Nothobranchius furzeri: one gene and its partner. The protein of the gene in region 1 interacts with the protein of each later gene in a pairwise test. Links are inferred from orthologs where the notes say so. Each region holds a gene or a part of one and is shown in the gene's direction. Other genes may lie near its edges.

Region 1 (5,960 bases):
TTTATTAAGTAATGAAAATTTTTGTGTGAAGAATCGTGATGCATTTCAGACTCAAATCGAATCGTTAGGCAGTTAATCGGAATCGGATCGAATCGTGAGGCAGGTAGAGATGCACACCACTAACTGTTAGACCTTTTCAAATGGTCCAGAACGCAGCGGCGCGTCTGGTCTTCAATCAACCAAAAAGAGCACACATCACCCCTCTGTTCATTGAGCTCCACTGGCTACCACTAGCTGCACGCATCAAATTCAAATTGCTAACACTAGCATACAAAGTCCGAGATGGCACGGCTCCCATCCACCTGAATCCTCTTGCAAAGGCTTACGTCTCGGCTCGGCCGCTCCGGTCATCACAAGATCGTCGGCTAGCAGAGCCTACGCCACGCTCGGGACAATCCAGACTCTTCTCATGCATTGTTCCACAAATGTGGAAAGACCTACCAAGCGCTACAAGAACAGGGGCTTCCTTTTCCACTTTCAAGAAACTCCTGAAGACCCTGCTCTTCACAGAGCGTCTTCTAAACTAGCACCCTCCCTGCACCCGTCCCCCCTCTCTACTGTCCACTCCTTGTTCCCTCCTCTCCATGATTCATCACGCTGCCTCACTGCAACCTACGACTGACTGGAAATTGTTTGTTGTTGTTGTTGTTATTGTTGTTGTTAGCCTCAAGAGCAACATACCGATTATAACTGGTAAATACTAGAAAATGAAAACTGTAAAAAAAAATTAATTAAACTGTAGATAAATATACTGTAGCTGTGATGGCAAATCATCTTCATCCACACCTGAATCCTCACCACAGATGTACATGGACCTTTTGTTTTTCTGGAAGTTGCAGTAATAGTATATAATAGTATAGTAATAGTATTAGCAGAAATACTAGACAACAGAAACTGGAACGGGTTTAGTGCAGAGATACTTACTGCATTTGGGATGGAAAAACAATGTGGGCACATCTTGCTCCTCATCAACAACTTTTGAGAGAAGTTTCCTCTTTCTAGAAGGTTTCCTGGTTTATTTACAAAAACCAATCTAACGTAAAAAACTAAAAAGCCTCAGTGAAAAACGCAGCCGAAAAAAGACAAAACTACGGGTGATCGAACAGTACAAAAATGGCAAAGCAATGTCAAATATGACTAAATATAATCTAAAATTACTAAATAAAAACATAAAGTAGGAAATTTACTGAAAATAATTATTTACACCAGTAGAAGAGATAGAAGTTGAAAATAGGCGTCCAAAACAATTCCTCCGCTCCCATGGCGAGAAAGAGGAAGAAGAAACTCCTCCTGTAAAATCTTTCTTATTAAAACACTAAAACGTTTTGGCAGCAGCATGAAGGCGTCTCGCTATTCATTTTCTCTCTCCCTTTCCTTTCTTCTAATTTATTTATTTTTTGTTCTTTTCTATTTTTAAACATATTTTTAGTCATTTAAACATATTTTTATACTTTAATTGTTTTGTTTTTGTGAAGCACCTCGTGATTTTTATCTTGAGAGGCTCTATATAAAAGATCTTCTCAACGCTAACATACTTTTTCTTTTGTTATATTTATTTAGCTGTAAACATAATTATTAACTGTATTTATGTAACAGAAAACACTATGTTTTTGTGACGTGAAAGTGCTAAGCCCAGCTAGCTATAGTGCTCCAGACAGTTCAGTTTTTTAGCAGTTTTTATAAATTTATATTCATACATTTTGCATATAATTAAATAAAATAAAAAAAGACAAATAAAGTAAAATAACAGTTCCCTGAGAGTTTTGCAAATGCTGGAAGCCCTGATATAAATGCGGAATTTACATTATATAAACAACATTTGTAAAGTTTATCAACATTCATACATTTTTATGTGTTTTTTTTTCTCTCCTGATGTCTTTGGCTGTTTGGTGTGTTGCAATATCTTCTCCGGGCCGGCCAGTGGCGCTGTTGCGCACACGCGCAGCGGAACTGTCTGTAAACAAAATAACAAAAGCATGTATTTATGCTGAACGTGATGTTAACGCCATCACGTTAGTCTTTTAAAATCAATAATAGCGACGATGAGATGGAGGAAGAACTTAGCGAGTGGAAAAACTCCTTCGTGGATTCAGCAGCTCTCTTTTCCACCTCCTCAGTCGCTTCTGGTAAAATTGTAAGTTTTTGGTGCTTCAGCTTGATTTGAAGATAACTTCTGTGTCTTATATTCAGGATCAGCTGTTAAAGCATCATCAGCTCCTTCACACAGAGTCATTTTGCATTTTGACCTGGACTGCTTCTACGCTCAGGTGGAAATGATAAGAAATCCAGCTCTGAGATGCGTGCCTTTAGGTAAACCTAAAATATTATTATGGAATATTAAAGTTGCTGAGTTTCTGTGAAGGTTAAACACTTCTGTCTTCAGGTGTTCAGCAGAAATACATCATAGTCACCAGTAACTACATGGCCAGGGGGCGGGGTGTTACCAAGCTGATGTCTGTCTCTGACGCAAAGGAGAAGTGTCCCGAGCTGGTGCTGGTTAACGGAGAAGACCTGACACACTACAGAGAAATGTCCTATAAAGTGACAGGTAGCCGTTCTTACCTATTTAGAGAATTTTATATCCTCCAACACATCAGATTGATTTTTGTGGGGAAAAATGTGCTGTTGGCTGTTTGATTTTAGTTATTAAATCCCAACAGGAAGCACATTAAACCTTAAACTATCATATGCAGCCAAAAAAAAAATAATAATAAAAGAGCGCCTTTTGCTATCAAAACTGGAAAATTAAAAATAAGTGTCACAGAAGTCAGTAAAGAAGATACAAATTTATATCGCAGCTGAGCTGCTACAAGAAATGTGTCCTTGTCTTCTGTTATTGTTATTGTGGGGAGAAAAAAGCTGATGTTTAAATTAGTTAACATCAAAAATGCATAAATTATAAATGTTTTCTGCTCACCTTCACTTTCAGAGCTGCTGATGTCTTATTGTCCCCTGGTTGAGAGGCTTGGATTTGATGAAAACTTCATGGATGTCACAGAGATGGTGGAACAAAAGCTCAAACAGACAGCAGAGCCTGGCTGCTTTTCCTTCAAAGGACGCGTCTACAATCACTCCAGTGAGTTGTGTGTCTGCCGCTGCACATCTGGCTCACTGAAACTGAAAGATAACTTGTGAAAGAGTTCATTTGTGACGTATTTGCATGCCGTTTTCAGTGTCACTCTAACCGTTCCATTTTAGATTTTTTTTTCTTTTTCTCCGTTCTTGCTCAGGTGCTGATGCTAAAGCCAGCGACCACCCCAGGTTGGCTTTAGGTTCTCACATCGCAGCAGAGCTGAGAGAAGCCGTCCGCGGCAAACTCGGCCTGACTGGCTGTGCTGGCATCGCCACAAACAAGCTGCTGGCCAAACTTGTTTCTGGCACCTTCAAACCAAACCAGCAAACCGTTTTACTGCAGGAGAACGTTGGCGACATTATGGGCTGCTTGAGCGGCCTCCGAAAAGTACCGGGTATGCACGTTAGAAAAATATTCTGATTCAGAGCTGGTATTTAAGGGTGGAAAAAACTTTAATTTGTGTATTAAATAACAACTTTGTGTTTCTGTGATTTCTTTCAGGCGTGGGTCACCAAACTGCTAAAAAACTTCAATCTCTGGGATTGGTCAGTGTTAAAGACCTGCAGGTTTACCCTTTAAACGACTTAGCGAAGCAGTTTGGAGGTCCTACGGCTCAGCGCTTGAAGAATCTGGTGCTAGGTGTTGATGATTCTCCTGTCACCCCCTCTGGAGCCCCTCAGGTGAATTTAGAGGCCCCAAAGACTTTCTAACACGTTTATCCTTAAGTAGCATTTAGTTATTTATCATATATTAGAAATGACCGCCATGAAGCTGTGAATAGATTTGGACTTATGTCTATTTAAAGAGCAAGTCACCCCCTAATCAACTTTATTTTTCTGATAAACTATATAAACGCGTGTCTAATCGTGCTGCAGACACGTGTAGTCAATAGTTTTGCACTTTAGTGCATTTTAGTTAAAGTTTAAATTTTCTGCTTAAAACTGTCGGTGTTGTGCCGTTGTCGGGGAAAACTCTGCACTGCATTTGAATTTTAATCTGCCATCGCTATTGGCTAAGAGGTAACCTAGGACATTAGCTGGTACCATATGATGTCACAATGTCGTTGTGAGCCTGTTTGTGTGTATTTGTTAGCGGCTCCGCCTTCTCTGTCTGCTAGGTAACAGCATTTGTTGCATTTTTCAAACAGGAAGTGGGAGTGGAGTAATGCTCTGGTAGGGGGTGACTTGCTCTTTAAGTAGAATTTTGTAGGATTATTACACTGACATTAATTTTATGCAATAAAAGTAGGTTTAACTAAGGACAATATCTCCAATAATAAAGATTACATATCAGAAACTATCAATGTATTGGTGTGAATCTGTCTTTAGATGCTGCTTGATCAGGAAATGGTGTTTATCAGTTGCATTAATGTCCTCTTCATCGTTCAGTCTCTCAGTGATGAAGATTCCTTCAAAAAAATGTCTTCAACTAAAGAAGTTGTGGAAAAGATTCAGCAGCTCTTGAGCAGTCTGGTAGAAAGGTCAGGACCAGTTTCAGCACCTCATCAATGGATCCATGGTTCTAATCTTTGAATGAAGACTTGCCGCTTCTACTTTGTCTTGTTTTATAAAAACCAGGATGCAGAAAGATGGCCGCCAGCCTCAAACCTTCAGGCTTACAATCCGAAGATTCACGACGACCAACAAGTGGTTCAGTCGGGAGAGCCGCCAGTGCCCGATCCCCAACAGCATCGGACAGAAGATCAGCTCTGGTGTGGCCACTTTGATCTACTTTTATTTAGTGAAACAAGTTTGGTTTGAAACACATTTCCGGATTAATCTCAGTGTTTATTTCGAGGCAGTGAGAGCCTCTTCTCCTGAACTTTAGATGAGTTTTATTTGTTCCTGCTTTCTGAAACCACCTAAAAATAAAAGTTTTTCTATTTTCTCTCCACAGAAAACAGAGAAGAAGCTGTGGTCCAGCTGGTTTCGATGGCTATGAAACTTTTCCAGAAGATGGTGGACAGCAGTGCTGATTTTCACCTCACACTCATAAATGTCTGCTTCAGCAACCTGCAGACGAGAGGGGCGGCCGTGAGCGGGAGGGGCGCCATCACATCGTTCTTCACGCAGAACGCATCCCCCAGAAAACCCCATCTCTTACCGTCACAAAACCAGGTGGTGTGTTTAAGATCTACAGATTCTGTCATTTAAATGAGCTCTTCATTTCTCCTCTTTATATCATTAAAGGTGGTTTGTACCTTTTGTGTATTTTTAAAGGATTTTTCTGAAAATTTAAAGACTATTACCATATTTTTACTTTTTTATTATTAAATAAATACTGTATTTTCTGGACTATAAGTCACTCTTTTTTCATAGTCTGTCTGGTCCTGTGACTTATATACCAAATTATGTAGGCTATACCGCGCTGCTGCGGGCCAGCTCTGGACCAGGAATGAGCTCCCCTGCCCCGCCATCCTCTGCTGGAGACCGTGGCGCGCTGCTGCGCCCGCGTTGTTTATTCTGTTATTGTTACCGGTACTTGTGACATGCTTGGTCTCAGATTTTGTAAGAAAAATAATAATATTTCCCCCCAAAATGTGACTTATAGTCCAGTGCAACTTACCGTAAATCCTCTAATATTAGCCTGTATTTAATTAACTGCCGGGTATCATATTTTGGTCGGTGTCGGCGGAGGTGAATAATGGCCGTTTTTTAATTGTGGCCGGGTGGAATGTGGTAACAAGCAAGTACGGGGGGCGGTTGTGTCATCCGTCTCACTTTTGATTTGCCAGTGACAGACCGCGAGGGTAACTTTAACCGTGCGGAGACGAAGAGGAGGCGAAAGTTTGATATCAAGTTCAAAGAGAATGTGCAGATTATGCTGCCGAACACTCTGGAGAGCAGTAGCAGGGGTTGTATGAACTAGTCACTAGTCGACTTCACCG
Region 2 (6,043 bases), on another chromosome or scaffold:
TCGGTGAAACAGTTTAACGCAATGTTTTCTTGACCTTCAGTTGGCATTTGTTGTCCAAAAGAGAATAAATTATTCTGGTTGCGCTGAACGACACTGTGGGCTGGCAACAATGCCTTGACATGTCACTCCACTAGGTGGCAGTATTACGACACAACATGAAGTTGAAACACAAGAAACCGGCGGGAATCATCAGCGACTTTCACGAAACCGGAAATCTGGCATGTCTCAATTTTTCAAAATAAGATATTTTGACTTTTTGTCACGTAAATGATCTGCGTTCTTCCGATAGTGGCAGTTGCAGTTGCCGTGCTATACAGCGTGAGGCATTTATTATACTTACCAGAAACTGTCCAAGAAAAAGATCCAGCACACTTTTCTTGTGATAAAGATGTGCTGTGTGATACAAAGCAAATGGCACAGCAGATTGGTGGAAAATCACTAATTATTACCAACTGTGTACAATCTATACGGTTTAACTAAATGTTCTAATTTTGCTGAATTGAAAATCCTCTGCCACATTGTTTTAGTCACATCTTGTTTTGAAAAACGGTACCGGAAGTGTATGTTGTTTTACCGCTGGCTTTGAGGCTAGCCGAGAGAAAAGAGAAGGTAAATGGAACAGGCGGCTGTAATGGAGAGCGAAAGGACTGGGAGCTTAAATGTTCTGGAGACATGGCGTGGCTGCATGACACAATAAAGGAATCTCGCCACCATAAATGGACGATTCCGAAAAACAAAGTCGAGGCCGTGGCATCGAGCTTCCTGCCTGGAGAATTTTCATTTCGCTCTGCGTTTACCTCGTTTAACCCAAAGCAGAGAGAGAGAGAGAGCACGCACCGTTTGATCCGAGCAGGATCTGCAGAGAGGAGTCTGTGACCAACAACCTCGCCTGACAGCTTTAAAGGTAAAAACTATTGACTTCTCCTGGCGAGCGGACACTCCAGCACCGCTGTTTGTTTACTACAACGATTAGCTCCGCGCTTAAGTTGCACAATCAATCACCTCGTTCATTGTTTCTTACAGCGTTGTTAGCAAGTGCGGTGAAAACACTTCCACTGGTTTTCATTTAACTGGCATGTTTCTCACGTTGTGGCGCAGCGACGTTCAGGAGCAGGCAGGGATCACCGCAGCTAGGCTAATGTTAGCAGCTGACCCGTGAATGCCACATGGAGCTGTGTTGTTGTTGTGACCAACCTGTCAGTGGGTGAAATCTGCCCGGGCACGTCTCTCACAGGACAGTCATAGCTAAAAACATGAATATTAGTTCCATAACATGACTGTCATGTCATCAATGTGTCACCCGGCTCGTGCAAAAGTAAGTTTTATAAGCAAGTTTCTTCAGTCATCAGGTAGGAACGTGTCATGGTTTATTAATAACTTTAAAGTAATTTTGCTTTGAGATCTGAGTGCTTTTTTGACTTGTGACAACAGGTTGACCAATGTGGGCTTTTCAGTTGCAGATACCAATGCCGATCTGCAGAAATCAAAGCTATCCGTGGCTGACAAACATTGCAAATGTGTATTTGTTTTTTCATTTAACAAAATGTAACGAAATTGATCGATTTTAACATGTATTTAATAACACTTTGACGTGTAAAAAAGAAATAAACATTTATACAGAGGTGAATTCTGGTTTGAGAAAACTAAAATGTGACCAGGCTGCATCTACACCTTATTATTTAAGTACGCACAATAAAGACTCACACAAAAATAATCAGCTTGAGATTGGACTCGACCATCATTCTTCATGACTGTGTCTGAAATTTTACATGTTTTCATCCGTTAAGGCATTGTTACCAAGCAATAATAATAAAAAAAAATTATCTGTCCATCAGCTCATTATTGATAAGCAAACTGATGAAACAAAATAAATACATGTTGCTGATGAGATCTATAGAACTGGTTACATTTTGCATCAGCAGGTCAGAGCTGTGTAAACATTGGAAACCGGTATTGGCCTTCAAAACTAGAATCGGTGCATCTTTTATTAAGTAGTGAAGTAAATCTACTTAAGTATTTAATATCAAACAAAACACAATAAAAGCAAACACGCATAAAATAAGAACAAAAACAGCAAATTTGGTTTAAGAAAAGAGCATAAAAGCAATGCAAACATTAAGAAAAAGTAAAAATCTCATGCACGTGCATAAATGATCACATACACATTTATACCAATGGCCAATATCCGCCAATCGATTAATGATTACTTCTACTAGTGTCCCTGTGTTGAGAGTTGGTCTCCTTCTGTTTACAGGAAGCTCAGTATGAGTCGAGATGGGTGGATGAAGAAGAAAGCTAATACTGGTGATGATAATGGTTGGGGTGAAAAGGTGAGTATTACTCTCCTACAGCTGTCAGAGCTCCACTGTGAGTTAGACAGTTTGCAGGATCTGCAGCACACAACGTTACATGTTATTTTGCAGGTTAGAAAATAACGATGGATCGTGATGCCCACAGAAAAGTCTCAGCTGTGTTTCTGTTATTTCATACATTCCTTCTCCTGCAGGGCGGCTACATGGCCGCCAAGGTCTCCAAGCTCGACGAGCAGTTTAAACGTGATGCCCCTAGAGAGAAGCAGAAGGAAGGAACATGCTCCAGCATCTTCAGCGGTGTGTCCATATACGTCAACGGATACACAGGTAGCACTCTGCACTAGTCCCCATCTAGTGTGTAATAAAAGTCTTGTTTGCTGTCTTCCAGTCACAGTTTCTCCTCTTGACCTTTAAGAGCAAAAAGAAAATGTTTTCAAGGGCTCAGAAGCTTCTTCCTGCTTTTTCCTTCAGGATTGATTTAAGAAATATTTAACTCTGCAACAAAGAAAAAAGAAATGCTGCAAGGGTTTGATCAAGGCCATAAATCAAGTCCAAAGAGAGTATTCTTTAGAGGAATGAACGCCTGACGTTCATATGGGCGAATCGAAAGGAGAGAGTGTGATTTAACAGCGTCGACATGGAGAAACAAGGCAGCGCTGCTTCCTGATCCTGTTGTTATTCATGTCAGGAGGCTGCTGAAGGCTTTCTGAACGCCTCAGAGCTTGGCTTGTCTCTCTGGAGTTTGCATGTTTTTCTCTAATTATTTTAAATGAATGTCTAGGATCCCCCAACAACGATAAAAAGACTATCTTTTCTTTAGGTTCTAGTTTATGAATGAATGTGTTTCTTTTCGTTTTACCGTCAGATCCGAGCGCTGACGAGCTCCGCAAACTGATGATGCTACACGGGGGTCAGTTCCATCTCTATTACTCGCGCTCCAACACCACTCACATCATCGCCAGCAACTTACCCAACTCCAAGATTCAGGAGCTCAAAGGGGAAAAGGTCATCCGGCCCCAGTGGATCACGGACAGGTGTGTTTGGTGCTGGAGAGTGTCGACGTGTGACGCTTAATCGGTTTTAGCTGAAACTCTGCTTGTTTGTGACAGTGTCGTGGCTGGGCGCCTCCTGCCTTATTTCCAGTACCAGCTGTACACGAAACAGAAAAGCACACTCTTCCCCGGCGTTATCCTGCACCGCAGCTCCACCGCCACCGGGTCCGGCCACCTTCCCCTTCAGACCAGCGCTCGCCAGAAGCTGCGTTCGCCACAGCGCAACACTGAGCTCTCTGTTCCCCACAGTGAAAGGTCCTTGTCCAGCTGCCAGAACAACTCCATCCTTGTCTCCACCCGCATTGAAGCTGACCCCTTGTCCACCCTGCACAGTGGCAGAGCTCGCTCGGTGAACCCCAGACCCAATCAGCTCACCACAGATCTACTCACACACAACCAGTGCAGCACAAAGCACTCGCATCCTGCCCACCTGCATGAAGAAGACCTTAAAATGTGAGTACATGCACTAGCAAAGGCTTTCAGCTAAAATCACGGAGAACTTGTAGTTATTTTCTGTCTCTTTACTACAGAAATGGGCGACTGCAGACCTCTGTGGATAACACGAGCCATTCCAAAATAAAAAAGCTGCAGGAGTGTACAGAAGATGACTTTTGTTCTTTTGGGGTGAATGAAGCCCCCCTTACTAATGGACATGCTCATCTTGTCAACGGTGCCTTAAAGTCAGGGGACCTGTCCTCTGGAACTGATCCCAACTACAGGATCGGGTCCAAAAGTAAAGTGCAGCGTTCAACGGATAAACCTCAAAGTCCTCTGAAACAGAACAAGTGTGACCCGTATGAGTTCCCCCCCAGCCCTCCAAAGCTTGACGCATCACCTGATGGCCATAGAACTCCTCCGCCCGCTTGTCCTGAGTCTCCAAAAGCCAACAAAACCCAACTCCCACCCAAACGTCTCCTCTCAACTCGGGTCCAAACAGTTTCTGAGCAGTCTCATCTGTCCCTTTCATCCTGTTCTCTGTCGCAGTCTTCAGTTCGACCGAACGGCAGTCACCGCGATGCCTTCTCATCCGACCTCTCGTTCCTCGGCACGGCCTCCGTAACAGCCAAGCCCGACCCCCCCGCCGGCGAGTCTCCGTCCAAGGCCTCGGAGCATCTGCTGGAGCAGACGGGCGGTCTGATCTCGGAGTTCTACTCACACTCGCGTCTGCATCAGATCTCCACGTGGAGGATCAGCTTCTCTGAGTACGTCAATGAGCTGCACAGCAAAACGAAAGCGCCGGGAGTGGCTTCCTACCCTGGAAGAGACCGACTGAAGAAATTCACAAGTCAGCGACCAACGGGCAGCCGCGGTATGAAAGTCGCCCACTCTGTTGATTCATTCTGTGAACTAGCAGCTGCGTTTTTATCTTGTTTTGTTTGTTTCAGGCACATCAGCACCGAGGAGCATCAAGTCATGCATCCTCCATGTGGACATGGACTGTTTTTTTGTGTCTGTCGGGATCCGGCACAGACCGGATCTTAAAGGCAGGTCTTTTTTTGCCTCTCTAAATACACGCTTATACATAAGTTAGACATTGAATTTTTGTTTTGAATTTTCCTGCAGGGAAGCCCGTAGCTGTCACCAGCAACCGCGGACAGGGTAGAGTTCCCATAAGGCCTGGAGCTAACCCGCAGGCGGAGCAGCAGTACTACCAGAGGAAACACACTCATCCTCAGCCAGGTGAGATTTTTCCGCCCTGTTAAGCGTGAAGTAAAGAGTTCTGTCGTAACAAACTGTAACGTGGCTGCTGATCAGACGAGGATCTACTGGGGACTCCCTCGCAAGGCTGGCCCAACTCCTGCGACAGCAGAGCGGAGACGGATGCCGCGGCTCTCTCCATGGCGGAGATCGCTTCCTGTAGTTACGAAGCTAGGTATGATTTAAACACAGCTAATATTAGCTGAATAAATAAGTGTTTAATATGTGTTTTCGCCATCCCAGGCAGGTGGGAGTGAGGAACGGGATGTTTTTTGGCAAAGCGAAGCAGCTGTGCCCCTCGTTGCAGGCTGTTTCTTATGACTTTGAGGCTTATAGAGAGGTGGCTCTAAACATGTATGAGATCCTAGCGAGGTAAGAAAGCTGAAATCCTTCAAATCATCACTTTGTTTTTTGTTTGTTTGTTATTGACTTGATAACTTCATGAAATGCAGTTACACTCGTGACATAGAGGCTCTGAGCTGTGACGAGGCGTTGGTAGACGCTTCTGCTCTGCTCGCTGAGGTAGGAGTCGGCCCGGAGGATTTGGCCAGAGCCATCAGAGCAGACATCGAGAAGAAAACAGGATGCTGTGCTTCAGTGGGGATGGGTGAGCCAGGGTTCTTCCTCTAGAATATTTTGTATATTTAGTTGTATTTAATCAAACTGTGATCTGTTCAGGGTCTAACATTCTTTTGGCTCGGCTGGCGACCCGTAAGGCCAAACCCAATGGGCAGTACTTCCTTAAATCTGAAGAAGTGGACGATTTTATCAGGGATCTACCAGTTACCAGTTTACCAGGTTAACGTTTCATCCGGCTCACGAGTACTAACCTGTTAGCATTTGTGAAGTAGTTAACAGTTGCTGTTTTCTAGGGGTTGGTCGTGCTATGGCTAAAAAACTTGCCGGTATGGAGGTGACGTCATGTGGGGACCTCCAGCACGTTACTCTGTCTCAGCTGCAGAAAAGGTTTGGACCGCGTAC

Evidence for each region.
Region 2: the proteins of poli (region 1) and rev1 interact in a two-hybrid assay, tested with the Homo sapiens proteins (2 studies listed by BioGRID). The link is inferred for Nothobranchius furzeri from reciprocal best matches to the Homo sapiens genes POLI and REV1.

The regions. Positions count from the first base shown.
Region 1 is NC_091750.1:42,536,673-42,542,632, forward strand, and holds the start of poli (DNA polymerase iota), read left to right. Parts: upstream 1-1,937; 5' UTR 1,938-2,047; coding exon 2,048-2,126; intron 2,127-2,190; coding exon 2,191-2,310; intron 2,311-2,383; coding exon 2,384-2,548; intron 2,549-2,929; coding exon 2,930-3,076; intron 3,077-3,230; coding exon 3,231-3,467; intron 3,468-3,574; coding exon 3,575-3,753; intron 3,754-4,461; coding exon 4,462-4,553; intron 4,554-4,650; coding exon 4,651-4,784; intron 4,785-4,969; coding exon 4,970-5,190; intron 5,191-5,960. UniProt on the Homo sapiens protein: Error-prone DNA polymerase specifically involved in DNA repair. Plays an important role in translesion synthesis, where the normal high-fidelity DNA polymerases cannot proceed and DNA synthesis stalls. Favors Hoogsteen base-pairing in the active site.
Region 2 is NC_091754.1:26,371,564-26,377,606, reverse strand, and holds the start of rev1 (DNA repair protein REV1), read left to right. Parts: upstream 1-2,330; 5' UTR 2,331-2,437; coding exon 2,438-2,639; intron 2,640-3,177; coding exon 3,178-3,346; intron 3,347-3,421; coding exon 3,422-3,817; intron 3,818-3,894; coding exon 3,895-4,673; intron 4,674-4,749; coding exon 4,750-4,848; intron 4,849-4,927; coding exon 4,928-5,044; intron 5,045-5,119; coding exon 5,120-5,237; intron 5,238-5,305; coding exon 5,306-5,434; intron 5,435-5,514; coding exon 5,515-5,669; intron 5,670-5,740; coding exon 5,741-5,860; intron 5,861-5,934; coding exon 5,935-6,043. UniProt on the Homo sapiens protein: Deoxycytidyl transferase involved in DNA repair. Transfers a dCMP residue from dCTP to the 3'-end of a DNA primer in a template-dependent reaction.